Linked DNA regions of Coturnix japonica. The protein of the gene in region 7 interacts with the protein of the main gene of each other region in a biochemical or structural test. Links are inferred from orthologs where the notes say so. Each region holds a gene or a part of one and is shown on either strand. Other genes may lie near its edges. The genes, in order: RNF111, RNF4, TRIM63, RNF168, AURKA, PRKN and UBE2N.

The links.
Region 1: the proteins of UBE2N (region 7) and RNF111 form a complex in vitro, tested with the Homo sapiens proteins (4 studies listed by BioGRID). The link is inferred for Coturnix japonica from reciprocal best matches to the Homo sapiens genes UBE2N and RNF111.
Region 2: the proteins of UBE2N (region 7) and RNF4 form a complex in vitro, tested with the Homo sapiens proteins (2 studies listed by BioGRID, with this or other methods). The link is inferred for Coturnix japonica from reciprocal best matches to the Homo sapiens genes UBE2N and RNF4.
Region 3: the proteins of UBE2N (region 7) and TRIM63 form a complex in vitro, tested with the Homo sapiens proteins (2 studies listed by BioGRID). The link is inferred for Coturnix japonica from reciprocal best matches to the Homo sapiens genes UBE2N and TRIM63.
Region 4: the proteins of UBE2N (region 7) and RNF168 form a complex in vitro, tested with the Homo sapiens proteins (2 studies listed by BioGRID). The link is inferred for Coturnix japonica from reciprocal best matches to the Homo sapiens genes UBE2N and RNF168.
Region 5: the proteins of UBE2N (region 7) and AURKA form a complex in vitro, tested with the Homo sapiens proteins (3 studies listed by BioGRID, with this or other methods). The link is inferred for Coturnix japonica from reciprocal best matches to the Homo sapiens genes UBE2N and AURKA.
Region 6: the proteins of UBE2N (region 7) and PRKN form a complex in vitro, tested with the Homo sapiens proteins (6 studies listed by BioGRID). The link is inferred for Coturnix japonica from reciprocal best matches to the Homo sapiens genes UBE2N and PRKN.

What each region holds. Positions count from the first base shown.
Region 1 is NC_029525.1:5,847,861-5,851,360, reverse strand, and holds part of RNF111 (E3 ubiquitin-protein ligase Arkadia), read left to right. Parts: intron 1-988; coding exon 989-1,152; intron 1,153-2,304; coding exon 2,305-2,502; intron 2,503-3,500. UniProt on the Homo sapiens protein: E3 ubiquitin-protein ligase. Required for mesoderm patterning during embryonic development. Acts as an enhancer of the transcriptional responses of the SMAD2/SMAD3 effectors, which are activated downstream of BMP.
Region 2 is NC_029519.1:74,948,416-74,952,390, forward strand, and holds the start of RNF4 (E3 ubiquitin-protein ligase RNF4), read right to left. Parts: upstream 2,801-3,975; 5' UTR 2,670-2,800; intron 1-2,669. Other genes in the region: CFAP99 (cilia- and flagella-associated protein 99), read right to left, coding at 3,810-3,975. UniProt on the Homo sapiens protein: E3 ubiquitin-protein ligase which binds polysumoylated chains covalently attached to proteins and mediates 'Lys-6'-, 'Lys-11'-, 'Lys-48'- and 'Lys-63'-linked polyubiquitination of those substrates and their subsequent targeting to the proteasome for degradation.
Region 3 is NC_029538.1:2,860,586-2,864,658, forward strand, and holds the start of TRIM63 (E3 ubiquitin-protein ligase TRIM63), read left to right. Parts: upstream 1-1,273; 5' UTR 1,274-1,814; coding exon 1,815-2,048; intron 2,049-2,138; coding exon 2,139-2,308; intron 2,309-3,245; coding exon 3,246-3,414; intron 3,415-3,680; coding exon 3,681-3,776; intron 3,777-3,877; coding exon 3,878-4,073. UniProt on the Homo sapiens protein: E3 ubiquitin ligase. Mediates the ubiquitination and subsequent proteasomal degradation of CKM, GMEB1 and HIBADH.
Region 4 is NC_029524.1:3,586,311-3,590,504, reverse strand, and holds the start of RNF168 (E3 ubiquitin-protein ligase RNF168), read right to left. Parts: upstream 2,801-4,194; 5' UTR 2,557-2,800; intron 2,526-2,556; exon of another isoform or gene 2,160-2,525; intron 2,144-2,159; exon of another isoform or gene 1,777-2,143; intron 1,653-1,776; 5' UTR 1,611-1,652; coding exon 1,310-1,610; intron 1,019-1,309; coding exon 942-1,018; intron 79-941; coding exon 1-78. UniProt on the Homo sapiens protein: E3 ubiquitin-protein ligase required for accumulation of repair proteins to sites of DNA damage. Acts with UBE2N/UBC13 to amplify the RNF8-dependent histone ubiquitination.
Region 5 is NC_029535.1:10,854,486-10,858,725, reverse strand, and holds the start of AURKA (aurora kinase A), read right to left. Parts: upstream 2,801-4,240; 5' UTR 2,691-2,800; exon of another isoform or gene 2,682-2,690; intron 2,483-2,681; exon of another isoform or gene 2,396-2,482; intron 2,144-2,395; 5' UTR 2,113-2,143; coding exon 2,059-2,112; intron 1,190-2,058; coding exon 904-1,189; intron 327-903; coding exon 248-326; intron 1-247. Other genes in the region: CSTF1 (cleavage stimulation factor subunit 1), read left to right, coding at 3,327-3,455, 4,039-4,209. UniProt on the Homo sapiens protein: Mitotic serine/threonine kinase that contributes to the regulation of cell cycle progression.
Region 6 is NC_029518.1:40,203,262-40,206,761, forward strand, and holds part of PRKN (E3 ubiquitin-protein ligase parkin), read left to right. Parts: intron 1-477; coding exon 478-715; intron 716-3,500. UniProt on the Homo sapiens protein: Functions within a multiprotein E3 ubiquitin ligase complex, catalyzing the covalent attachment of ubiquitin moieties onto substrate proteins. Substrates include SYT11 and VDAC1.
Region 7 is NC_029516.1:40,865,294-40,869,441, reverse strand, and holds the start of UBE2N (ubiquitin-conjugating enzyme E2 N), read left to right. Parts: upstream 1-1,348; 5' UTR 1,349-1,468; coding exon 1,469-1,498; intron 1,499-4,148. UniProt on the Homo sapiens protein: The UBE2V1-UBE2N and UBE2V2-UBE2N heterodimers catalyze the synthesis of non-canonical 'Lys-63'-linked polyubiquitin chains. This type of polyubiquitination does not lead to protein degradation by the proteasome.

The DNA.
Region 1 (3,500 bases), on a different chromosome or scaffold from region 7:
AAAATGGCTTGCTAGAGAAGTGAAAGGAATACAGGCAGAATAGAAGTGTTGACTGAACTCCATGGTGATTTGTGCAGTGGGTTTTGTTTGTTTTTGTTTTAGTCATTCCCTTTTCTTCACTGCTGAGTTACTGAAGTTTGAGTATGTTGTTTTTCCAAATTGGAAAATGGAGCTATTTGGTGTGTATAGGAGAGTCGGTGGTAAATATCCTGCAGTGAAATATCACTTTCCTAATTAAAGATAGTAATCTCTTAGCTTAAACTTCAAAGCATCATTGATTTGAGCATTCGGATTGGTATGACTAAATTAAGTAGAATGTCTGCAGGAAAAAAAAAATCACCCATTTCCTTAGGAATGGTACAGGCGTAGGATTTCCTTTTCTCAGGCTGCATTTCACTTGAGCTTTGTTAAATGTTACACAAAGCTGTGTTTATTCTTAGAGGGGACAAGGGAAGTAATATTCACAAGATAAATGTCCAAAGCAATCTCTGGACCTTAAAAGTTCAGAAATGATCCTCTGAAAACACTGCCACAAATTAATACTCAGAAGGACTTAATTCTTACAGGATTTTATCATCTTTGCTCTTCTATCACCATTCATAGATCTGCTGTTTCAGACTGCATAGGGGTAGTGTAGAATTCAGAGTGTCTTATATTTCTCTAACAAAGTAGTAACATTAGGTATAGCTACTGCATGACTGATGCTGTAGGGTTTCACAGTTTGTTGTTTTTTTTGTTAATAAAATACCAGTACTTAGTTCATAGGATTACATGTTAGACACTTTCCATTAAGTTATCTGGTAAAGTCTAAAATAGTGCTTCTAAATACCCTGCCATGCCACATTCACTAGACTTGTATTTCAGCATAACCAAAATGCTTTTTTGTTATTAAAAAAGGGGGAAAAAATGAAATAGCTTCTGAAACATTGAGGAGAAAAAATAGTAAATGTAAGGTTTGAGTCAGTACTTAAGGCGATGTGTTTTTAAGGTCTCGTTCAACTCTTGGACATTCAAGATCCCAGTGGGGACAAAGCTCTAGTACTCATGCTGCACGGCCTCAAGAACAGCGGAACCGCAGCAGGATTTCCACAGTCATACAGCCACTGAGACAGAACGCTGCAGAGGTAGTGGACCTTACGGTGGATGAAGATGGTAAGTCACATTGGTCTCTGAAGTCTCTTCCTTTTTTAGGAGCGAGATGATCAGTGGAGCATTAACACTTTAACTCCCAGTGTGCTACATGATGATATGATGCAGGATATCGGTAACCAAAAGTTATAAAACCATGACAAATGGAATAGGATAGAATTCTATTAACCCTGTTGTACCATTTAGCGGAAAAACTTTGTGTAATAGTAGTCCATAAAGAACTGAGCTAGTAAAGCACGCTCTATGCTTCTGAAATTGTAATGTTCTGTGGTTTCCTACCATTAAAATCCACTAAGTTTGGCATTCAAGCTTAGTGATGATGATAATTGTCAGAGCAATTTCCAGGCATTATCAAAAGCTGTGGAAGAAGTCTGAATCTGATGTGGTGGTGGTGGTTGTTTAGAAGGGAGTATGTATTAACTTTTAAAAGGAACTTTCATTTGTGACAGTTCCCTCTCTGAGTGTGTCAGAAGCCAGTGTCTTGCAACACGTATTTTTACTAGAAAAAAAGTGATCATCTTACTACGTCTTCTATTCTTAGGCATGTCATTACTCTGTCAGTAATAAGAAATTTCAAATATAGTCAAAAGCAGATTTTTTGAAACTGAATTTGAATTGCGCCTCAAAATATCTTTTAAAAAAAATGTAGCCTGTGCACAGACGTGTGGTCGAGAGCAGCATTTATCAAGTAGTGTATTTTCCCTCATCCTGTAAAATGTATTGACTGCTTAATGTGTATTGAGACTAGAAAAAAAGTTTATCTTGCTGGTGCCTGTAATACAGTGTGTCAAGAATGGCTGAAGCTTATAAGGCAGTTCAGTTAGTTTAGATGTTTTACAACCTTGCTTAGTTATCCAAAAGCTTTCCTGTGCTTTGTAGGCATTGGAAGGTGGTAAGGAGTCATAGAATAACGTAATCATAGAGTAGTTTGCCTGTTATTTATGAAAGACTTCAGGAAATATGTGAGCATATGTGCACACACAAGTTAAACAATTAACTTTTCGATTTTATACTCATTTTTATATTCTGACTTTCTCAGCACCTGGCAAGACTAGCATGTATTGTATGAATTTTAAACCTACAGATATCAATTTAAAAAAATCTTAACAACTTTGAAAGTTTACAGAACTTGAAAACTTTTCTTTTTCCTGCCAGAGCCAACAGTTGTGCCAACCACGTCAGCTAGAGTGGAGCCGCAGGTCGTGAGTTCTGCTTCCAGTAACAGTTCTAGTACGTCTACCTCAGAGCAGGCCTCTGATGCAGCTCCAAACGTCTCCACTAGCCAGCCCTCTGCAGCACCAGAGACAACTTCTAGTCTTCCCAATAGCAGCACTGCTGGTACTTCAGCTGGAGGTACAGAATAAGAGAGCTTTCTAAACTGGTTTATTACCTGCCAGGTACAAGGGCAGTAGAGGAGGTTAAACAGATAGCGGTGAAAAGTTAAGAGTGACTGTGAAAAGCGGAGAGGAAAAGAATCTGGAAAAGATGACTGATTTCATAGAAACACAGGATGTCAGCAGTTAGAAGGTACCTTGAAAGATCACCTAGTCCTGTCCTTCTGCTGGAGCAGGAACACCTAGATTGGGTCCAGGAATGCGTCCAGGCAGGTTTTGAATGTCTTCAGAGAAGGAGACCCCACAACCTGTCTGGGCACCCCATTCCAGTGTGACATTAATCTCACCATGAAGATATTTTTTCTCACATTTATGTGGAACCTTTTGTATTCCAGTCTGCACACATTGCCCCCTTGTCCTGTCATTGGATGTCACTGAGAAGAGCCTGGCTCCATCCTCCTGACACACATCCTTTACATATTTATAAACATTAATGAGGTCACCCCTCAGTCTCCTCCAAGCTACTCCCTTAATCCTCTTTGTGGGTTCTGGACTCTCTCAAGCAGTTCCTTCTTCTTGAACTGAGGGACCTAGAATGGGACACAGTATTCCAGATGTGGTCTAACCAAGGCAGTGTAGAGGGAGAGGAGAACCTTCTAGACCTACTGACTGCAGCCCTTCTAATGCACCACAGGATGCTATTGGCCTTCTTGGCCACAGGGGTGCAGTGCTGGCTTGTGGTCATCCTGCTCTCCACCAGGACCCCCCAGGTCACTTTCCTTTACCCTGCTCCTCCGACAGGTCATTCCCCAACCTATACTGGTATTTGGAATTTTTCTTTCCCAGATACAAGACTCTATGCTTGCCTTGTTAAATTTCATTAAATGTCCCCCTGTCCAACTCTCCAGACTGTCTAGGTCTTGCTGGATGGCAGCACAGCCTTCTGGCATGTCAGCCACTCCTCCCAGTTTTGTGTCATCAGCAAACTTGCTGACAGTGCACTCTATTCCCTCATCC
Region 2 (3,975 bases), on a different chromosome or scaffold from region 7:
AAGGCTCACTTGTTTCTTAGTTAAACTTACTCTGGCGTTTAGCAGCAAATCAGAAAGATATAAGGAGTCCCAATTAAGCTTTATCTGAAAAAACAACCTATTATTTGAAGGTAATGTTTGTGTGGGGGCAGAAATAACCAGGATTCATGCTGTAAGAAGCCATCCTTAGAGAACAAAAATTACAGATAAGCAGTCCTCTATTCTCCAAACCACAGCTAGATCAAAATGTGGGAGCTAAGCAGCTCGAAATGTGGAGAACAGAAATGGCTGTGTAGAAAGGCTCCAAGAAACACCACTGTTCACAATGGCAGGGGTTGAGCCCTGCTCAGCAGGCAGCCAGCTGCTGGATGACCCAGCCCCACTGTCCCTGCAGGGCTGAGCTCTCTGCTCACAGCTCTGGCTATGAAAGGTGCCAGCTGTGGCTCATTGAACAGCCCCATATCTGCACAACTGCAACCCAGTGAGTTCCTAACACTTCTGGGTACAAACACGGGCACACACCTGAGCACTGCTGAACCGACTCTGACTCACACACTTCACTGCCTGTACTCAATGCAGGAAGCCCAAAAGACGCTCCCTGCACACAGAACTCAGCCACACAACCCTTCTCAGTTCCATTCCATTCTGTATCGAGGCGCAGTGTGTGCACCTCATCCTACTGCTTACAGGTTGAGATTCACCTCCCAATGAATGAAGCTTTCCCACCACCTCTCAGCTTAACCCAGAAAGCCAAGCTACAACTTCCTCAGCTCTCCTCTGATATAGAGCTGGAAAAATACTTTGAGAATAAAAGACTGGGGAATACCGACATACGTATCTGAGGATCACAAGGAATTCATCTTCATACAAGCTTTAAAATTACCAACAGCTGGAACTGTTTTCATTGGAGTCTCTTACGGCAACCTGATGTATCTATGCTTAATACAGAACCTACACAAAACCCCAACGCTCCTGCCCCATTCTAGTCTGCTAAGGGCTTAAATCTGAACTTCTCTGGGAGCTTCTTTCAAGAGGAAAGCTGAGGATGGATATCCATGGGGAGCCCACTGCTGTAAAACCCAGAGAGGGAAAATCCAGCAGCATCCACTGAGGGAAAGCAGACTGCTGGAGCTTGTTACTGCTGTGGATGACGCCTCCTGACCTGGCAATGTTTCTGTCTGTATAAGAACAAACCTCTTCTGTGTGGCTGCAGATTTCTACAGTAGGTTCCTGGCTTACTCAGGAAGCTTCCCCCAGTGGTAACTATCCATACCACAAAGAGGAGGAAAAATGAAGCCAAGCTTACTTTCTTTGGTACAACGCAGATCAAGTTACCATTACATAAGAATAGAATTAACAGCTACAAATCCTGCTCGTTTAGGCACCTTTTTACTGATTAGCACCTAAAGGCTTTCAAAGCCCCAGGACCACTCACAGGCCCAGACACCCACATCAACCCATAAGGGCTGTGAGATCCCCTCCAGCACACACTGCTCAACCAGCACCCAACAGCACGAGCAGGCACTGGGGGTACAACCCCAAACCAGAAGCATCCAAAGCTCCAGCTGCAGCCATTAACAAAGTCATCTATTATGTCTGTAACATAATCAGTTCCAGATTCTAGAATGAGGATTTGTCAGAGCGGGACAGGTTGCGCCTTCAAATGTGCTTCCTCACCTCCTCTCTTATTAAGCCCTCTCAGTGCACTCCCAACAGCCCATAGAAAAAAATAAGCTCTGTGGTTCTCCTCGCAGTGGTGCTCAGGGCCAGGCCCAGAGGCATAATCTGGAGCCTGAGAGCTCCCCTTCCCACCAGGCAGCAAAAAAACCCTTCTTCCCTATATCTTATCTAAATCTTTATTCATGTCTGACTCATGTCCAGCTCTCCATCCTCCGTTACCCCCAGGTCCTTTTGGGCAGGGTGGTGCTCCAAAAGCTGCCTGGACCTCCAGCTCTATCAGGGCTGAGCCAGAGGACACTGCGAACCTCAGCCGTGTGTCTCCGGTGTCTTCAGAGCCAGCCCTGCTTTTCCTCCGGATGCAATACACAAAGTTCACCAATAGCAGACACCAATGGATTCCATCTCCCCATCTCGGCCTCGCAGTGCCCCAGGAGCTCGGCATGAGGAGAAGCAGCCAAGCCCCCCGGCCCAGCTGCAGCCCGGGCACCACGCACACACTGACCATGAGACCACAAAGCACAGCCACGGGAACGCAGCCTGAGCTGCCATTTGGCCGCCTGACCCACTTTGTAGCGCCAACCAAACCCGACGCTGTCGGCTCATTACACGAGCTCTGTGCAGCTCCCTCGCAGGGTTTTCCCGTCGTTAGGCCGCAGCTCGCGTTCAACAAGGCCCAGACACACGGACGGACGCGGCCCGGTTCGGGAGGAGCCGCCCCGCAGCGCCGTGTCACGGCGCAGGGCCCCGCTCCCATCGTCGGGCGGCAGCAGCTCATGCAGCACTGGGAGGCCGGGCCCGAGGCCTCAGGCTCGGCTGGGAGGGAACGAAGCTGCCGATCCGCGGACAAGGCCGCACCGCTCCGCACACACACAGGCCCACTCCGGCCTGGACCCGGCCGCCCTGCCCCCATCGCGGCCTGCAGCCGCCCCAGCTTAACGCGGCCTTCACCCGCCCCCCCTCACCCTGAGCCCGGCTCCGCTCAGCGGCACGACCCGCCCGGCCCCGCTCACCTTCCGCCGTCGGAGCGGTAACGGCACAGCGCGGCGCTCCCCCGCCCTCCCTCCATTGGCTGCACCGGCGGTGCGGGGAATGGCGGCCGCACGTCACGGGGGTGGATCCATCACGGCCCCGCCTCCATCCCGGCCCGTGCCCGCCGGGACATGTAGTTCAGCTGGAAGGATGTGGAAATGATCTCGGCAGCTAGATGGCAACAAAGAATTCCACCAGAAACAAGGGAGAATGTAATGCTGGGAGAGCATTAACAGCAGCTGCACGGCTCCAATGTCAGCGGCGTTTTCCTTCCATTTAAATATTTGCCATCGCCTTAATTAAACACTTAGTAACTGGCATCACGTTCAAATAGAAATACATTACGTCGTCTCACTGCTCTGCAGATTCTAATGCAGATTTATATCCTCCTTGGCCAGGTGCCTAGAATAAGTCTCATGATTTAAGGGCTGTTTTACAGTATAGAAATTGTCATAGAGGGCAAATGATCTTCGAGGTGAGTAGCAGAATTCTGTCTTCTGGAAGCAGAAAAGAGAAAAGAAGCTAAAGAGACCCAGCAGTGTTATGTGCTCCTTCCACTGTTTAAACACTGAGCAGACTGCAAACAGAGGGATGGTCTCTTGGGGTGCTGAATGCAGCCTGTGGGCTGTCCTGTCATCTCAACCTTCCAAATGATTTCCTTGCACCCTCTAAAACCAGTATTGAAGCTGGTGATCTTGTTACACGCAGTTACTGTCACGTCAGAAGATGTGTTAGGAACCTGGGCCAAACATGCTGCTGAAAAAATGCTGATGTAAACAAGTACTGCCTTTTTTCTGCCCCCATTTTTATTCTTCAGGAAAATGAACACAGCAACTCATGGCACAGTGACAGCAGTAATATGGATCTCAGTGTTCTTACCCAGACACTGGCCATCTCGGTTTCTTACAGCTTTTCATTCTAATAGGAAGAAAATGTAACGTTACAGCTACAAAATTAAAATTCCAGTATAAAAAATTAACACGTTTCCATTCTACCATGTCTGAATGACCCAAATTTTGCTACTAAAATGGTACAGATCAAATAAAGATTAAAATTCAACCTTGTGATACACAGTTGCTCTGGGAGACTTCCAGCAGGCCTGGGTTTGTTCCAAGTGCACTTTATTTTACTTCGGAGCGCAGGATACACGATGTGGCTCCGCTTTTTGCTGCCACGTACGCAGCCATTTTCTCGGCTGTTTCTCTGGCCATTAAACCGTATTGAAGAGACTTGAACCGCCTTCCCCGACTCTCTTCCAGTTCTTTCCAACGGTTCCACTGCAAGGAG
Region 3 (4,073 bases), on a different chromosome or scaffold from region 7:
CCCCGAAGGCCACGCCCACTGACGCACCGCATTCTGATTGGCTGCGTGTATGTAGGCATTGGTGCTTATCTATTTCTTCTTTATCTATTTCCTCTTTATCTCTTTTTTATTTATCTCTTTTTTCGTTGCTTGGGGTGGGACAGCAAGCGAGCCTAGCTCCTCTGCTTCACTTTATCTGCGTGTCAGCGGCGCAGCTTTGCAATGACAGCCCCTTACCTATCCCTCTATTCGCCTATTTATTTACCCATCTATTTCTTCACCCATTTATTCACCTGCCCCATCATTGGCAGCGTCTCTGGGCTCCCCCGCTGTCCTCAATGGCAGCAGGGAGCAGATGGAGGTTGTGTTTACAGCGCTCGGGTTGGTTGGTTGGCAGCCGTGCCTGCATTGCTCGGAGCCAACTGGGGGTTGAGGAGGAGCCATTGGGGGCTGGGAAACCGAATGGGGCGTTCCAGCTCATCCTCTTGTGGGAATCCCCTTCATAAAGTCCAGCAGTGATGAGTTCAGTGGGCAGGGCCAGCAATGGGACAGGTGTGCATCCGGTCCCCCCCCCATTCCCTCCCTTACGGTGTGTATCTCAATGTACAAACCTCCTTGGAAGGTCTCCCAGTGCCAAAAAGGGGACAATGTTGCAAGATGTGCTTGGCTGGCTTCTGTGCTGTCACTTGGTTGACATGTGAGAGCCTTCCTGGAAGGAGCGTCTGGAACAGTCACAGGCTGCCCATGTCTGGGGGGTTCATCTGGGACAATATTAGAGCCCCTATAGCGTGCACCCACTGTGCTGTGTCCCTATGCATAAGTGTACTCATACAGCTGTGCACCCACGTATCCATGTGGTCATGCACCCATCTATCTGTGCACCCCTGTACCCTTTGTGCACCCAAGTAACCTCATTTACCCCTGTACTTGCATACTCATGCATCAATGTGCACCCATGCACCTGTGCACTCCTACAGCCCTCTATACAGATACCCCTGCTCCCATGTACCCATGCACTTGTGCCTCTGTGTGCCCATGGCTTTGTGCACCCACCACCCACTTACCGCAGCATCTCAGCACCCATCCCTTTGGCCACTTGCAGCACCTCCTACCCATTGGGCTCTATGGGGAACAGAGAAGCCACCTCACCCAACCCCGTCCTGTGACCCACAGCAGAGGTGTTATAATTATCCTCTCCCCTGCAGCTGCCAATATTTACAGGTCTCCCTGTGCACCGGCGCTGGGATTTGGAAGAACACCGTGTTTACTGGTGTGCCAGCTGACAGCCAGGCAATGTGATCAGGGCGGCTCCCAGCTGGGAGCAGTCTGGAGGGGCCACACTCCTGTTTTCCTGTTGATGTTTCTGGGTCAGGTTTTGCAAACAAGTGCAGGGCACAGCCGGGCATGTGGGATGTGCAGCATGGTGCTGCTGTGCTTGGGAACCCCCTTGCAGGCTGCTATATGGATTTTTGGGGTGCAGAGAAGCATGAGGAAGAGAGGGTGCACGCACCAAGCACATTTGCTGTATCCCCCAGGTGCTGCAGTTCAGCTAAAAAGCCATCAGCTGCCCTGCAGGTGCCTTTCACCCCACAAGAAGTTGCATTTTGAGGGTGCAAAGGGCAATGCAAACCCCCAGCCCGGTGCTTTTTCATCCTGACTCCCCAGCAGCATCGACCCCCCCCCAGTCTCTCGGTGTTCCCCAGCAGGGCCATACGGACAGCATGTCCCCAGCATGTCCCCAGCTTGTTTACTGCGGCCGCGCGCCTCGATTGTCACCGCCATGTGACAGCTGATACCTTCGGACAGCCGAGCCGACTCCACGTGATTGCTGGGCTATGGATAAAAGCTGCACGAGGGGCTCCGGCTCCAGAACTGAGATTGCTCTGAGGAGGAGCAGCAGTGCCGTACCAATGGATTTCCAGCCCAGCATCCTACGTGATGGCAGCCCCATGGAGAGCCTGGAGAAGCAGCTACTGTGCCCCATCTGCCTGGAGATGTTCAGCAAGCCTGTGGTGATCCTGCCCTGCCAGCATAACCTCTGCCGCAAGTGTGCCAACGACATCTTCCAGGTGAGATGAGGACCCCCCTGGACGTTGCCCTGCTCTGGGATGCTCTGCAGGGGCACCTGGGGACACCCCGATGTCCTTGTCCCCCTCCAGGCTGCCAACCCATACTGGCAGAGCCGGGGCAGCAGCATCATCTCAGGGGGCCGGTTCCGCTGCCCTACGTGTCGCCATGAGGTCCTGCTGGACCGCCACGGTGTCTACGGGCTGCAGAGGAACCTGCTGGTGGAGAACATCATCGACATCTACAAGCAGGAGTTCTCCAGGTTGGTCCTATGGGGACACAGGGGCAGCCACATCATTTTTGGGGGGGCGAGGAACCAGGGAGGCTGGCTTGGTGCTCCCCTCCCCACCTTTCCCTAACCCAAATCTCCACCTCACAATTGAGATCTCCATTCTCAACTCGAATCTTCACCCCCAACACAAATCTCCATCTCCCAGCCCAAACCTCCCTCCCAGCCTGTGCTGTTCTAGTCTGCGGTTGCTCTGTGGGGACAGGGGGACCCTAAGGGGGTGGCAGAAGAACGAATCCAGCCCCCATCCTGGCACCCTGCAGCTTTGGCTTTATGTTGAAGATAAGGGGTGTGAGGGACAAATCCAGGCTCTGCTTGTGACAGCAGGGAATGATAAGGGACAGGGGGACAGCCTGAGGGGTCTGACAGCATTACTTAGTGGCAGAGGTGCAGCAGGAGGGGGACAAACAGGGGGGTGATGTTTTTTAAAGGACCCAGACATGTGAGTTCATCTCCCCATTCTCCTGCCCCACTGTAAATATTGTTCCAGCTCCATGGGAACAGGGATGGAAGGCACGTGGCAGGTGGCAGCAGCCCCCGGGGGGGAGCTGGCGAACCCCCCAGTGGTGACTCAATGGCTGTCACCCCCCTGAGCTCCCTGGAGCCCCTGCCCGGGTCACGCGTTGGATGATAATAATAAATGCCAGCAGCACTCAGCTAAAATTAGGAGCTTGTGTAGCATCCCTGGAGCGTGGCCCCAACTGCTGCCATGCCTGATGACACACTGCTACAAACTGGGCTTACTGGGCATGCAGGAGGATAAGGCCAGGATCCGGTTATGGGGCAGTAGTTCTGCATTGGGTGGGGAGGTCACTGCTGTGGGGACGTCACCATGATGGGGACATGACGTCAATATGGTGGGGATGTCATTGTGCTGGGGATGTCATTGTGGTTGGGCTGCTCTCTCCAGCAGGCCGCTCAAGAAGGGGGAGCACCCCATGTGCAAGGATCATGAGGATGAGAGGATCAACATCTACTGCGTCACCTGCGAGGTCCCCACCTGCTCCATGTGCAAGGTCTTCGGTGCTCACAAGGACTGCGAAGTCGCCCCTCTGCAGAGCATCTTCCAGGGCCAGAAGGTGCAACATGGGGGGACATGGGGCCACAGTGGGGAATGGCCAGATCTGGGCGATGTGCTGAGCTAGGGTGGCTGCAAATAGCATTGGGATGCCTCATGGGGTATTAATAGGCAGCAGGCTGACTTTGACCAGGAGACAGGCCTATATTTAGTGCGATGCCCCCCCCTCTCAGCCTGTGGGATGGGGGCTGGATCGTGATACCCTGGCAGCACCCATCTGTGCCCTGCAGGGGTTAAAGCTGCTTCTGTCCATCTGTCCCTTCCCAGAGCGAGCTGAACAACTGCATTTCCATGCTAGTAGCGGGGAACGACCGCATCCAGACCATCATTTCCCAGCTGGAAGATTCCTGCCGCAGCACTGAGGTGAGGGACATGGAAACATCCCCCCAGAAACCAAGTGCTGGGGGAGGCAGCCCCTGAGCAGAGGACACAGGGGCTGGAAGGACACATCTTTGTCCCCATAGGAGAACAGCGAGGCGGCCAAGCAAGAGCTCTGCTCACGTTTTGATGCGTTTATGGCTCTGCTGGAGGAGAAGAAGACGGAGCTACTGGGACGCATCACCCGTGAGCAGGAGGACAAGACAGGCTTTGTGCAGGGCCTCATCCACAAGTACAAGGAGCAGCTGGAGAAGTCCAGCCGGCTGGTGGAGACGGCCATCC
Region 4 (4,194 bases), on a different chromosome or scaffold from region 7:
TTCTGCCAGCAGCTTTTGAATGTATTCCTCACTCGCTTTGTTCTCTTCCTGTTCATGTGCTCGCCTTTCTGCCTCCACCTGAGAAGGAATTGTTTTTCAAGGTATGAAGGTGCTACTACAGCACCACGCTTTGCATCAGAATCTCTTCACTAACACTCCTTCCACAGGAACAGTTCAAATGAAATCACTCCAGCTGTCTGACTGGACTTCCCACAGAACGTGCTTGATCAGAAAAGTTTACAAAAGTTCCAAGCCCTCAAGCCTCTGAATAAAGAAAACACAGCCTTAAATAGAAGTCTATTCTTCAGCCTCGCTTTTGAGTGGTACACTAAGCCTGCAGTACGACAGCCTGACCAATACCTGAAGGTGGCATAAACTGAAACTGCCACAAGAAAATGTATCCATAAGCCAACACACACAGCTGAATAAACAAGCGTTCTTACAGTTTAAGTCAACCCTGCATCTGAACTGAAGGCTGTCACCTTCCATTGTCAGCAATAGCTGTTAGCTCTTGCTGAAGAGCACACACTTTGTCCTCCCTCTCTCCTTTCCACATGATATCCAGATCCCAGCAGTGGCAGTGCAGTTTAGCATCATAGCCAGGAGGGGAATCCCCTTCTGAGATAGGTTTACTTCTAGCTGATAAGTTCCACATCTCTGTATGGTTGGCTTTTCCCCCCCTTATTCAACATTTCTTATATGTAAAGTCTATAGAAACTTCTTACATACCACTTTGTGACTACGTAACCTTCTTAAAGTCTCTTCAGTATAGGATAAAAATGGAATTCATGCATCAGGAATGAGCAGCATGTTCTTGTAGCAGCAATGCCCTCTTAAATACCTTCCTCTTCTTGTTAAATAACATTTCACTTCTTTGTGGGAACAATTAAAACAACTAGATTCAAAGCATTCGGCACTTTTCCATCCATTTTTAGACTTACCTTGCTAACCTCGGCTTCATATTCCTGTCTGAGTTCCCCAGGTTTGCTCAGCTGGTGTTGTGGATGGGGGACAAAAACTAATGGAGAGGAAGGGGGTAATAAAAAAGAGTGAGCGACAAAAGCAAGAGCATGACAGTCAGCAATAATATATTTTCACATTTCCATACCTTGTCACGGGAGCGAGTTTGGAACAAGGTAAAATAATACAAAACACAACAGATAAAAGCTACAGAAAACAAAAGGCAAGTCCTGTTCACAGGACAGCTCTGGAACTGCACATCTATGCACGTATCTTCTTTCACATCATCCAAAGATATATACTAAAATCCCTTTGGTAAAGCACAGGACAAGCGACACATTTTACTTACTTTCCTCTTCCAAATCCTGTCCATTCATTCTACGCTCACATTCTTTTGGATATTTCTTCTGAATCTTCTCCCAGAGCTCCCAGTTGATCAGAGTATTCCTACGGGCATTATATCGTGCCCAAGAAGAGACTCGACGGCGACAAAAAGGGCAACAAAGACTGGCATTTTCAACTGTCAGCTGGAAACAAGAATTACAGATGGTGTGGTTGCAGGGCAGGGTCACGGGCTCCACAAAGACCTCCATGCAGATCTGGCAGAGGCAGTCATCTAAAGAAAGAGGAGCCTCCGATTTCTTCGACATATTGACTTGAAGCTCAGGAATGAGACAAATTAACAGCAGGACCTGAAAGCAGAAAGAAACATGATGTTTATTGTTTTGTTTTTTCCTTTTACACCAGAAAACTGTTTTCCAACTACATTACAAAAAACTCAGCGTATTGAAGAGAGCTGGTCACTATTTGACTTACAGAGGAAGATGAAGGTCTTAACAGAAGTCCCTGTGAAGCAAGGATTCCTACTGCAGTCCCCTATGAGCTGCCACAGGTACAGCAGGGAGATGGGAACGTGGGACAATGAGGTAAAGAAAGTCTCCCCGTGTTTATTTTCTCAGTTACAAGCTAAGGTCATGCTTGGTGGATCTTATCACAGTTACTGAATCAACTTTCAAATGAGTCCAGCTTAGCTCCACGCCAAGGTGAAATACAACATTCTCCCTACGGATCAGAGGCTTCTCCTTAGAGAGAAGGATCTTCCACAGTCCTTGCTTAAGCCGGAAGGCAAAAGTCAAAGTGCTTTTGATGTCTTACAAACATAAGCACAGATGTAACCAATGTATTCAGTAATTCAGTACCTCCCACCACGGGGATCACCCAGCCCTTCTGCCACCAACACTCCTCAAATGGCTTTTCAAATGGTTTTTCACTTCACCCAGAACTGGTGAAACAGAAAGTAAGAACAGAAGACACCCCCTGCAGCAAAAGAGGCAAAGATATGATTTTTCAAGCTGCAAAAACTAAGAAACAAATAAGACAAAAAAGGAAACCTCAGGTGATTGCATAAAGACAGAGGGTTCTGACTGAGGGGCCGTGACAGTTTGACCCCGGATAACCCACAGAAGAAGCTGACACTGAGACAGAGGCATTCGAAGGCGGCTTCTGGTGGTTCTGCTCTTCCTTAATACAACAAGTCTTTTATTTCTCAGGAGAGAGGGCAGATAAATGGAGACAGCGAGCTGTACGGCTCTGTACCAAAGCACGGCGCGGATGTACCTCTGCAGGGCCGGGACTGGCAGACACACACGGAGCGGGGTGAAGGAAGGCCTGCGGGTCCAGGAGAAGGGCGGGGATCCTCACGGGAGGCTGCGGGCCGGCCTGATACAGCGGGACGACGGGTGCGCTGCTCCCAAGTGCGCGGCTCCGCGCCGGGCCAGGCCGCGCTGCCGTCAGCCCGCCAAACCGCCCCGCCTCACACACCACACACACAGCCCGCCGCGCTCACCTCCTAGTTCCGGCGCTCACAGCCCTGCACGGGCCGCGCTCCGCCCTCACGGCCGCGAGCTGCTCCGCCCCGAGGGAAGGCTGGGCTCGTTGTGCTCCGTGCGGGAGCTCCGGGGAGGCTGCAGCGAGTAGGAAGAGCCGCTGCAGCTTCCGGCTGTGTGGATCGGAGGTTTCTATACGGCTGCTGTGGCTGCTGCCCGCACCACAGCGGTGCTTCAGCAACAGCTGCTCCGCTACCTGATCGCAGCGTGCCCGCTTGGAAGGCAGAACGCCTCGTGATATCAGACTGTAACCTCAAAGTGACAGAGTTTGCTCACAGTGCAACCTGCCGGCCTCACTAGCAGAAGGGAGGCAGAACATCCGTGTTCTTTATTCCCCATCCCTGCTCTCTGGGATGTGGTGTGGCTCTTTACCACGCAAATATTCATTTCAAATCAAACCAACCTTACTGTTTCCATAGCACATGGTAATTCAGGCTGTATAAATACACACTGAAGGTGTGTATTTATACCTGCAGGTGCAGGGCTCAGTGCAGCTGGTGCTGGCCCTTCCCTGCTGCCCACCTGTCCTCCAGCGCCGATATCCACGCTGCATCCTGGCTCTTCTCCTTCTCCAGGAGCTCAGCCTGCACCTCAAACTTCTGTGCCAGCTTCTGCAAGCTCGAATCCAAGTCTTGGAACCGTGTCTCCAAGGTTTGCAGCCTGCTTTCTACTCTGGGGAGTGGGAAACAAGCATTTGTTTAGGATCTGGGCCTCAACGCACTGTGCTTTATGCATGTGGTGACACACTGCACTGAACAGACCGAGCTGCCCTCAGTGGCTTTTGTGCTCTGCTGGCTTTTCCTGCTTTGGTTTTCCCTTTTATTATGGTGGTTCTTCAGCTCAGCAAATGCATGAGGGGAGGACCTTAGTGAAACAGCAGTAACAACACTGCAGTAACAAGTAACAACTGCTTCATAGCTTGATATCTGCTGTAGTTTTCCTTATTAAAAACTGTATCTTTGCACTCTCTTACATTAACATCCTAAATATGGTGGGGTTTCTTTTGGAGTTTCAGCTTCCTTCATACAGCCTCTGCAGGAAAATAAATCCTGCTCAGTTGAGAGCTTGCCATGTCTACCAGAAAGGAAGAGGGAATGGAACGCTTTGTGCTCATTGTCCATTCTTTGCTTTACTGGAGGGTTTACTGGGCTTCTTTCATCATGGTGGTGGTTTTTGTGAAGATAATGCTCTGTAAGGTTGCCTCAGTTCACTGTGTTATGTCAGTGTCCCATATCTGGAAGTTCATTCCCAATCTCTCACTTACAGCACAACTACAGCAGAGCACAAACCAGATTTTCCTGTTACCGACGCTCCTGTCAGCACTTTGTGCAGCTACCAGCCCTTCCTG
Region 5 (4,240 bases), on a different chromosome or scaffold from region 7:
AAGTTGCTCCTTTTTGTGCCAAAAGCTTTCCTTCAGATTAAAGTAATTTATTGTTCCTAAAGATTACCAAAGCAAAGTAACCCTTCCCAGAGTTTCATTAATAAACATTGTCTCTATGAAGGCCACTGTTCTTAGCAATCAAGAGGCTTAAGTAGGCAGCAGCTTGGCTGCAACTCAGTTGTAGCATGAACTGCTAGACATTGAAAGCACAACTAACAGCTGTAAGTTTTTAAGGCCCGCAACTTACTTTTTAGTGTCTTCCTTTTTCTTTTTAGTAGGCTCTTCACTTTTCTGTTTAGAGACACTGTCTGCTTCAGAACTCTTTGCTGTATACAATCAAATAGAACAACTATAAACCACCAGCGAATGCAAAACATTCACAAGGAATAAGTCTGGGTAGTATCTACAGCAATTTACTGTCTATCCTCTGTATTTAAAACCTAGCATAGCTTACCAGTGGCAAAGCAGCAAAGCAGTTAGAGCTACTTTATCAAAGTGTAACTTCAAATGCTTTTTTGAAACTCATGAAAACATTAAGAAGTCTTCTCCCTCCTGCTCATACAGTGTTCTTGTGTATCAGATTACCATGAACACTGGAAAAAAACATGATGCAGGGATACCAATTGCATGTATTCAAAGTTGACTAATGAGCATCTGTAAATTTTCAAGACTGGAGGAACACTTCTATTAGCTCCTCTAAATCCTTAACTCTAGCAACAAGGACAGTACAGTAATATCTAAGATGAAGTATGTGCTGCTTTTCTCTTTCTGGGTGCAACCATCTATTCTTCTACAGGACTGTCCAACATGTCGTTAGTGTGAGCTTTACATTTTCTGTCCTGCACTCTTGTTTGAATTCTCCTGAGTGTCACAAACACAGAAATGTATCATCTTTGGAATTACCAGGTCCAGGAGCTTGTTGAGGTTTTTCACTGCTCTTGCTTGGAACCTGAGGCCCAGCAGTTGGCTGGACTGGAAGTTTTGGTCGGGGCTGCTGTGTTGTCTGATTGTTAGACAGTTTTTGGTTTGACAGTGAAGAATTTTTTTGTGATTGTACAGGAACTCGCTGGGCAAAATTTGCAGGACACAGAACACGTTGCAGTTGAACTCCACTGTTCAGTGGCTGGCTCTGGGCAGAACTCTGAGACACAGGGACACGTTTTGGGCCATCCACAACTGGATTCGCTGCCTTCAAAAAACAACAACTGCACATTAGTAATAGAATAGAACACTATAACCTTTATGTCCCTGTACAACAGTGTTAGGTACAGGTTGCAGAAAAAGATAGGGAGGAGAAAAAAAACCAGTATATTAAAAGAAGATGTTAAAATTACTCTGATCTTATTTTTTAAGAATTGAATTGACTTGTAGAAAACTACTGTCTTATTAACAACATACTTATTCATAACTAGACACAGAGCCACCAAAGTGTAGATAACAGTGGAAAGCTCAGACCAGCCTTTACTATAGGAATCCTGTTCACATACAATGCTTTGAGTCACTGTTCCCTTGAGTGATGTGTATTTTAAGATGCCTTGCGCTACTACAGGAGTTCATCAGAACAAAGCCAAGTTTAGGATAGTTCCTTTACCTACTTTTAATCCTTTTCTTTCAGTCGAGGAAGGAAATTTAAACTAATATTTAAGTAATGCTTAGTTGCTCTAGAATTAAATTCAAATGCTAATGATCTGTTACTGATGCCTTCACTCTCTAGGAAGACTTATATTCTCCTTTTTTTTTTGATCCAATGCATTGAAAGCTGATTTTAAACCATGCTTCTACTACTTTAAAACCTGACAAGGACCTGTTTATACTTAAATTAGAAGAAAAGAATGTCCGTGCTTCTGTATACAAAGATATGTAATCTTAAGGCATGCACAAAGATATACAACATTCAGGCAGCACGTCCTTTGCAAGTCACAGCCTGTATGTTTTTGCTGTCTTATTAGTTGATTAGGGATAAAAACTGCACTACTAGGACTTCCCAATTAAATAATTGGATGTTAATAACAGCAGCCAGAAGCTCAGTCACCCCCATCAACTCGATAAGCCTCTCACCTTAATAACACGAGAAGGGTTCCCAGGACAGTTCTCTTTTATCTTCTTGTCCATAGTGCCCGAGAAAAGCAAGATACACTTTCACCTATGGAGAATGAAACAGAGAACAGGGCTGAGCCTCCAAGCAGCGCCACTCCTCGGACGTGCTGCTCTCCCTTTGCCCCCTAGGCCTCACTTTAGGCCTCCCCCTAGGCCTGCCCGCCCCAGCTCCGTAACGGCCGGGCCGTACCCACACCACACGCCGGCTGGGCCGCCCTCGAGGCAGGTAAGGCCGCAGGTAAGGCCACAGCACAGCACCACGCGAGGCCCGACCCGGCCCAGCCGTCCCCACACTCACCTCGGCCCGCGGCCGCTACAACTGTTTGAATTCAAACCTCCCTCCCTTAAATAGCCTTTAAAATTCCGCCCCCTCGCCATTGGCTCCTCTCCTGGCATCCGCGCCCTCCGATTGGCCGCTTTTCAGTCTACCTGCCTTCCCATTGGCTCTCCTGACTCCCCGCTCGTCGCGAGGCCTAGACTCGTCGCCGTGAGCTTGCGGTGCGCATGCGCAACGGCGGCCCGCTGCGTACCCGCGTCGTCCCGACCCGCCCACCCTTTGGGCGGCGTTTACGTTACATACGTACTTTACGTACCGTCTGTCCGCCGCTTGTTTCTTCCGTACTCCAAGTGCGTGGATCGAGCTCACACACTTTCTCTCCGTAAGTCTCAGCCCGGCCGCGGTCTCTCGTTACGCAAATCGCGTTACGTCCAGCCCACCCACCTGTGGCAGCGCTACAACTCCCGCTCAACGAGGCCTCGGGGGTGAAGGGCTCCAGGTTAGTGCTGCATCCAGCCGGGCTCACACCTCGATCCTCCTCAGCGTCACCTGGGGCTGAGGGAGACGCGGCGCTGCCACCTCGCGTGAAGCCGAGTGGGAGCTGGGGGCCATTGTGTGCTGAGGTGCGACGGGCAGCAGCAGGAGGAGCATCAGGCCTCAGCTTCGCACGGCGCTGCTCCACGTGCCCTTAACGAGCCTTAAGGGGGCACCAACCCAGCTCAGCACGAGGGGACGCCCGGCTGTTGGCTGCACAGCGCCCGGTGCTGCTCGTGCATTGCGGAGCGGCTCGTGGTGCTGCTCTGTCTCACAGCACTGAGGGACCCGCTGCCTGAAGAAGCGATTGAAGGTATTGAAGGCAACTTATCAGCGGCTCCGCGTCCTTAACGACCCGGCTCGAGGGCGGTCCCGGTGTGTTGGTGTCGACAAGCGGGACACCATAGGGAAAAAGAAGATGTCCGGTCGTCGCGTGGCTGCAGCGTGTGACCGACGGCAGCTGCCGCGGGGCATGGGGAGTATGGGGAGCATGGCAGCTCCGCTGCTCGACCCGCGGCCGCTACGGCTGCCGTTTCTGGAGGCTGACGTGAGTAGCACGGGGCTGTGGGTTGGGTGGCGGTGGGACATGGAAGGGGCTGAGCTGGCTGAGCTGGCGGCCCTAAACACTCGTGAGGCCTGTGTGCCGTGGTGCCCCATGGCAGGTGTTGCGGTGTCCGGCAGCACCGTGCGGGTATTGTAGCCCAAACACAGACTCGCAGCCCCCAGCTGCGGTGCTCATAGCAGCTCTACGCTCCGATGGGCAGCACGGGGCGGTACTGGGCAACCTGATCTAGTAAAGGTGTATGTTTGGTGGCCCTGCCAGGCAGGGGGGTTGGAACTACGTGATCCTTGAGGTCCCTTCCAACCCGGGTCATTCTGTGTGTCTACGGGCCGCCTGGGCCTGCTCGAGGCTGTGCCCTGCCCGACACGTCACCCCACGGGCTGCAACCGGGTCCGAGCCACGGTGGAGGGGGCGTTGGATCCCGGGATCCCCGCTGGGCTCCGCTCTGCAGCCCGCCCCTTCCCCACCGGGCGGGGGGTCCTTTAACAAGGCAGGGGTCCTGTTAGAGCGGCCCGTCGCGTCCTTAACGCGTCACCGGTGACGTGACGCCGCCGTTCTCTCCCCTAAGAGTCGGCTCCAATCGATGTGCGGGCGCTCGATGCAGCAGCCCTCGCGGAGGAGCGTTCTTCGGTCTCGGCCGCCGCCGCCGCCTCCTCCTTTACCGCCGCCGCCGATCGATGCGCTCAGAGCTCCGGTCGCCATTTTAGGGGCAGAGCGAGGGAGGCAGAAGGAAGGGTCGGTAGGTACCGGCGGCCTCGTGTCGTTCTCCG
Region 6 (3,500 bases), on a different chromosome or scaffold from region 7:
ATCACCACAGAAGAACAACAGGAAAAAAGTACACAATATCACAGGGACGACTCAATATATAATCTCCTATCCAGGCTGGACAGGCCTCCTTCTTCATACTCAAACTTCTCTGGAGAAGTGAGAGGAAGCGTTCACAGCCTCGTGAACATCGACATAGAAGTCTACACAAAGATAAGACTCTCCGGTTTTTCGCGAGAAAGCACTCATACTCTCTCTGTTTGTATCGAATGTTACACATTAAATAACTAATATATAATTGTGTTAATTTGTATTTCAGAATATCATACATTAGAATAAAATAGTTTTCCTTCCTATAACGATTGTCCAGCTAGTTTCTAATCCCACTCCACTTTTCCCCCTCACATTCGGCCCGCAGGAGGAGTGGAGTGGCTTCCCCTGTCACGGGCATAGGTAAATCTAACTAACCCGTGACAGCCACAATTAATTATTTACTAGGATTTTGGTTTTGTGTTGCAGAATTGTGACCTGGTCCAGCAAAGCATCGTTCATATTGTTCAGAATCCACAGAAGAATAGTGATAAGGATGAGACTGAAGACAACAATACTGGAGGCATTCTAAAAACGTTGGAAAGAGTACCTGAAAGTCTAACTCGCATAGATCTCAGTTCCAGCATCCTCCCGTCGCTGTCTGCAGGGTTGGCTGTTATTCTGGATACTAAAGAACCCAACATTTCCCCTCCGTCTGAAAAGTCAGGTAAATCAGTTATTTGGTACACAGAGTCATAGAATCATTTAGAAGGGACTCTTAAAAGTCATCTAGTCCAGCTTTCCTGCAGTGAAGAGGGACATATACAGCTAGATCAAGATGCTTAGAGCCTGGTCCAGCCTAACTTTGGATGTCTCCAGAGACAGGGTATTTTAATGCTTAAACAAAAAAATTATGTTTCTTTATTAGAGTGAGCAATTCTATACCACAGACAAAAAGCATAACGTATTGTTTCTTTTAGTTTTCAAACAAAAAATGCAACTAAGAGATGCTAAACAGCTGACACATCTTCTAATAACATAATTTTGCTTTATGGATAAAGTCAATGATTTCTTTTCTTAGTCTTTTCTCTAAGAAGTTATCATCAACAATAAAAGCACCAAAAATACACAAAAATGCAGAAGTCTATTGGCAAGCAAAAATAATCCCTCTAAAATTTCCATTACTGAAGCTTCCTTTACTAGGATTCTTGGAAGCTTTTACACTGGAAATATGTTTAATAGTCTGTTGTAATGTTTTCATACCCATGCATTTTATAAAAAACATTTCTATACAATGGGCTTCTTATTTATAGAAACATAGTTGGCACAAAAGATGATGATGATTCATACTGTGGATTTGAGTAGTTCTTCACCCACCAAATTATTACTGAGAATACTTTTTCTTCATCATAAGAAATTGTCTGAGGCACAAATTACATCACAGTCAAATGGATTGTTGTGTAAGGTGCACGGTTGGACTAGATGATCTTATTGGTCCTTTCCAACCTTGTGATTATATAAATCTTTCTATGGTAATAATTAAAATGGTTCTGTAGAGATGTGTACAAAAGACAGAAATACAAGAATGTTTTAGATAATACTTCTCAGATTAACCCTCTCCTACAGACACAGTCTAACTAACCCTCATTGAATGCTGTGTTTGTCTCCAAGGAAGAAAAATCGTTTTGTGGAATACCAGACTCTGAGTGGTGATTTGTGGTAATGGTCTACCAAAGATGTATTTTTAGAATGATTGATATGGATGATAGTAGCAAGCACAGAGGTCCAGGGTACAGAAGGGAGTTTGTAAATATGACACAGACATACTTCTGTAACTAACCTGACCACAAACATAATCGTGCTTAACTGAACAGCTACTAAACTGTTAGAATAACTTTATAGAAAATTTCTTAAGTAACTCATGCCAAAAAGAAATGGAAGGGTCAGAGAAGTGTTCCACAACTGACTTGATCAAACTCTCACTGCCAGCTGATGATGAATGAGTGCAGTTTAGGAGCAAATTAGTGCCCAGCTTAATGATCCACATCTCTCATTCTCCATGAATAATGAGATAAGTGGGGTGCATGCCAATTTAAATCTGTTAAGGTAGGGACAGAGTTTCAGGCTGGGCCTTCTAAGTCAAGGCAATGGTGCTAGATCCTTATTGCTTTTTCAGTACTGTGCATGATATTTACATGAAATTAATAGTAGCGTTTGACTTTACAGAATAGTTTATACACATGTAAGGCATTTTAAAATGTGTTACACAGTGCATTTTTCCATAGTCTGCAAATTCTGTGAGGTCTGCAGATGGATAGATAGGTATGTTCTGTTGCAGCAAATCTTTTCACAGCAGAAGGACAACTGAGGAAAAAATACTGAGGAGTATATGTGGTCTAGTTTTATCTGTGGTTAAAAGAGATTTTTCTTTTTATTTTTTTGTCGTAAGGGAAAAAACAGTTTCCTGTAATGACTGATAGGTTCTGCCCGCAAGGATGTTAGTATGTTTCTTTTTAAAAGCTTGTTGTCTTCTCCTTGGTTTGCTATGACTTTCACAATGAATACTTGACCTTGCCACTGCTCAGCTCTACTACTTCTGTTCAATATGGAGGATTTTTATGTCTTTGTTGTTTCTGGAAGTTGAGGTGGGTTAATGTGCAGTCACATTATTCACTGAGATGAGTACTGGTCTGGGTTATAAATGATCCAGCAAGAACAAAAAAAATAAATAAAATATGAACCCAGAGATGATATTTTTTTAGTCAACTCTTCTGTGTAGTAACATTTGCCTTGACACAGTTGTGATGAGTAAACAATAGTGGGAATGAGTAGCTGAAGGATACATATGTCATTACTTCTGTTTTAAATACCTTTAAAGCCATTCTGCTAGAAGGTGGATGGTTGTGATTAACCTAAATGAAAAACCTATGCAGTAAAACCAAAAATTATTATTTTCCGTGTGTGAAATCACACACAATGAACAGGGGGCAATTTAAACCTACAATTTAGAGGCAGATGATTAATTGATTACTATTTTGTCTAACATGCTAATCAGCTATTCTGTGGTTGCAGAGATAACCACTTCTCTTTCAGTAGACCAAGTTATTTCTGCTTGTTAACATAAAATGGTGACCCTGTGCCCCTTAACCAGCTTTTGTTTTATTTTGCCCGCCTTTGAATTATAAGGAAAATGGATTGTGGTTAACTTTTGCATGGCAAAAGATTCTCTTAGAAGCTTCTCTTATAAGCTTTTGCATCATTTGAGTGGAAGGATATTATTTTTGAAGTGCTGAATTGGAGATAAAAATTTACCAGATAATCCAGGAGAGAAATCATTATTTTGTACTGCTGTTATGCATGTACACTTATGCAATGTACATTTACAGTATGAATTGGCACATTTGACTAGATAAATGCCCTTATGGCCTGCCATCCTGTCTCAACTAAGGGTCGTTATTTGCTCCTTGCAAAAGAGCACAAACGGACATTTTCTCAGCTCATCCCCCTCCTTA
Region 7 (4,148 bases):
TATTTCACAAGCTCAATAATGAATGCAAATGAACTCACCCTTCACCGAGGCAAGATGAGGGAATGTTATTGATGAACTCTTTGAGATCCGATTCTGCAAATGTTTGATGCATTTTTTCTTTCCACATGTCAATACATTGATTTCATCGATTTCACAGAAAGTTACACCCATAATGTTAGGAGAACAATTTAGCGTTTAAAGGGCCAAACGTGTGTACAAGAATGCACAGGGCTGGTGTTTTTCATGAGTTGATATGAAAAGTTTGTAATTACTGGTGTATTCAACAGCTGAGGAGATCAAGTTGTGTAGAACAACTATGTACCTTTTAGTAGCCTTCTCAAAAGATAGAGAAGGAAAATTTGGTAAGTTTTTGGGAAGCAATGTGGGGAGGATGAAGATTTTGGCTTAGGGGAAGCTGAGGACAGGCCTCATGGCAGCTACAGCTCCCCATGGGGAGTGGAGGTGAAGTGCTGAGCTCTGCTCTATGGGGGGCAGTGACAGGCCCCAAGGGAACAGCATGGAACTGTATCAGGGGAGGGTCTGGCTGGGAGTTAGGACGTTCTTTCACTGTGTGGTGGGCACTGGCACAAGAACATTTGGACTATATTTGCAGACACAGGGTTTGAATTTTGGGTAGTCCTTTGTTGAGCCAGGAGCTGGAGTTGATTCTTGTGGGTCCCTTCTGACTCAGGCTATTCGGTTTCCTTGATTATAAGGAGGGAGACACGGCACTTCTGACATGCTTCATGTTATTGTAACCACCATGGGTTGATAAGAATGTTTCTATCTTAGGACACAAATCAAGCTTGCAGTATTTCTGACAGGAGCATGTTGGCAATTACACAGCCCAGATTTGCCAGTGTTAGAACTGTCCATTCTACCAGTGTGTGAAAACGGCGTAGCTGATCTAAATGTCCTGTTTGTGAACCAGGACTAAAGCAATTGACAGAGAATTGTTCGTGCAGGGTCTTGTTCCTGGGAAACTGCTTCATCTTTCTGTGCTTTCATTTCCCATCTGCTCAGCAACGGTGCTGGATGCTACTGTTGCTACGTAGCTGTAGTAGGGAGCCACAGGATGCTGCGGAGGTAACACCATCCATGTAAAACACCACAACATCCATGTAAAACACCTCATCTTTACAACATTTCCCTTCCTGTCAAGGAGGAAGAGACGTGACTAACGAGCCTTTAGTATCACAAAGGTGACATGTCCTGAGACATCTCTGTGACTGTTCGCTGACACACGTTGTACCACGCTGATGAAATCCGAGCTCTGTCAGCGCGGAGCTCCGGCCTCACAGCGGGACTCGGGGCAGGACTCGCCCCTTAATGGCAGCGGGCGCGGCCTACATTGCCCGACGTGCCGCGCCGAGGGCGGCGCCACCGGAAGAGCGGAGCGGGAGACTTCCGGCTGTGTGCGAGCCCCGAGCGGAGGCGAGCCCGCGATCTTGCACCCCGACGAGACAAGATGGCCGGGCTGCCCCGCAGGATCATCAAGGTAACCACGCGTGCCGCCCCGCGGGGCCGCGAGGCACCGACCCGCGGCTCGCTCTCGCGGCGGGCAGGGTCGGGCCTGGCGCCGCTTCCGGTGCGCGGGAGCTGTGGCCGCGCGGGGCAGGGCCGCTCCCAGGCCTCCCGCATCCTGCGGAGCCGCCGCCGGGCCCGGCCAACGCGGGGTTGAATGAGAGCGGGGCGCCGCGCCGGGCCCGCCCGTCCCCGCCGCTCCCTGCTCGGCCCGGCGGCGTGATCGGGTGGCGGGGGAGCCGCCGGGGCGTCCCGGTGTGCTGTGGGCGGCTGGCGACAGCGAGGCCGTGCCCGTCGCGGTGCCCGCCCGGGCGGCGTCCCGCGGCCCTTCGGGGCTCGGGCGGCTCCGGGCGCAGTGTAAGGCTGCTACGTGCGCTCCGAGCTGCCGGCTCTGATGTGCCTCGAGCTGTGTCTGCCAGGCTTCGCTTTTGGCTTCGGCCACTTCCAGCTACACCTCGGAGGGAACTGCAGGCTGGCTCAAACGCATGGAGTCACTCGGCACAGGCGCAGGGAGCTGCGTTGCAATGCAGTTCGTCTTGCTGATGATTTGGTCCTGTAGCCGATGTGAATGCTTCCTGGGTTGGCATCCTCGATCCTACTCGGTTTGCAGTATGTGGTTTGCAATCTCAAATCGGTGCTCACCGACTGCTCTTGTTGAAGTTACTAAACGATTCCAGTAAGATTCATTAGTTGGTTAGTGGTAGCACTTGTTTCATTTCCACCTGAATGAATGTCACAACTTGCAATAATGCTGCAAAGCTCTTCTTGGTTGAGCTTGCAAAGTTGGCAACCATTGTAAAACACAAGAACACAATGTGTTAACTAGCTGATGCAAAAAATAAAGATATATATATATAAGTCAGTATATCTATATCTACCTATCTATATAGCAGATGTTAGAGGAGATGGGATAAAAATTCAACAAGATTTTTTTTGTGTATGAAAACAGCTGAACTGTGACTGATGCTCAGAAATACAGGCAAAATAACGTGTCAATCTTACAGAAGTGAGTTTGGTCGCCCTGTTGCCTTGGTGCGCAGCATACAGTGGTGAATATATTTCAGGTCTGAGGAAATCTCGTGATATAGCAGAACTGGTGTTTATTGTAGAGATGTGGTGAGAGATGAGTTGTGAAGCTGATATGTCCGTGTTAGATTTTGCTGTAGGTTTTGATAGTTTTCTGGCCAAGCTAGTCCATACATTTCATTCTTAGCACCCTTGTTTCTTCTTTCTTAGCTTCTTAGGGAAAACCTAGAGCAATGCATGAAGCTCGTTTCCAAGATAGAGGATGGTATGAGAATGTTGCTCTTGTCCCTGGGGATAGACATCTGAATACCCCAAGCAGAGACCTAAATGGTCTAGATTTTCTCCAGCAGAGTCTTGCTTGGAATATTTCAGTGTTGTCTGTTGCAGGGTGGTGCATATTCTGGGCTGTCTATGTCCAGGTATGCACTGTAGGATGTCTGCAGACAGTTCAGGGCCTTTGAGTCTTGAAATGGGTGACCGTTTCTGTAGCTCCTGTGCTGTGCATACGTGAGGTCATCAGCGCTATGTATGGTCTAAGACTTGAACCTGACTAGTATTGCAGTCTTGAATGTGTAAGGTAATATTTGAAAGTATCACAGCTGCAGAGTTGAAGATCTAGGAACGAGCTTCATGAGTCTTGAATGAGGGCTGTTTTGATGCTTGCTACTGATCTTAATGTTGGAGTTAAATATCCTATTGCTGCTTGTCGTAGTTGGAGGGGAGTAAATGAACTCAGTGAGAATTTGAAAGATGAGGAAAGGAAATAGAAGAGAGAAAGATAGATGACAGAAAAGGGCTGTAGAAGGTTGAAATAATTCTAGTAACAAGTTGCAAATTTGATAACTAAATGCTTTGGGTTACTGCTAGGAGTAGTAGTAGGAGGGAAGGAGAAGACCTTTTCCCTTTGATCCGCGTGTGGCCTTTGTGTGGTCATCTGAGGGAAGCACAGCGATAGCTGTTGGGGTCTAGCAGTGTGTGTGCACCGTAGCAGAACCCAGCTAAGGGCTCAAAATGCAGTTGGCATTCCTCATCTTGATGGACTGCTGGCAGATGGCCTGGCTCTCAGGTTGACTAGCGGCCTGTGCTCTCCAGCCTGCTTCTCAGCTCTGTGCAGACTGTCATCCAGCCCAGCAGGAGAGCTCTGGCTTTCCTTGTCTCAGCAGAGAGCTCTATTTATATTTTCAGTACTTCTCCACGCTCATTTAAAAGGTGTCAGTATAGATATTGCAAAGCATTTTTTACAGGAGATAAAGGATTACTCCTGGCTCGCCGTCCTCAGATTACTTGGAAGGACAGGCTTTAAACAAGTGGGGTGAATGATCTGTAAGCTCAGGAGATGACTCGCTTTAGAAGTATGGCTTATGGTGTTAGCACATCACAGATGTTGAGTAGAAAATGTGATAGATGTGAATCCTTAAATCAGATGTATAATTGGAACTGGAGAAACACTGTGAACTATTTTGTTACTGCACATATTTAAGGAGTGAATCTTTGCAAAGTACCCAGTAAGCAAACCCAGAAATCTTCATTTTCAAATGTTTGTTAAACCAATTATTTCCTGTGTTGCAATGTCATGTTGCTCCAGTAGAGTAAGGAAT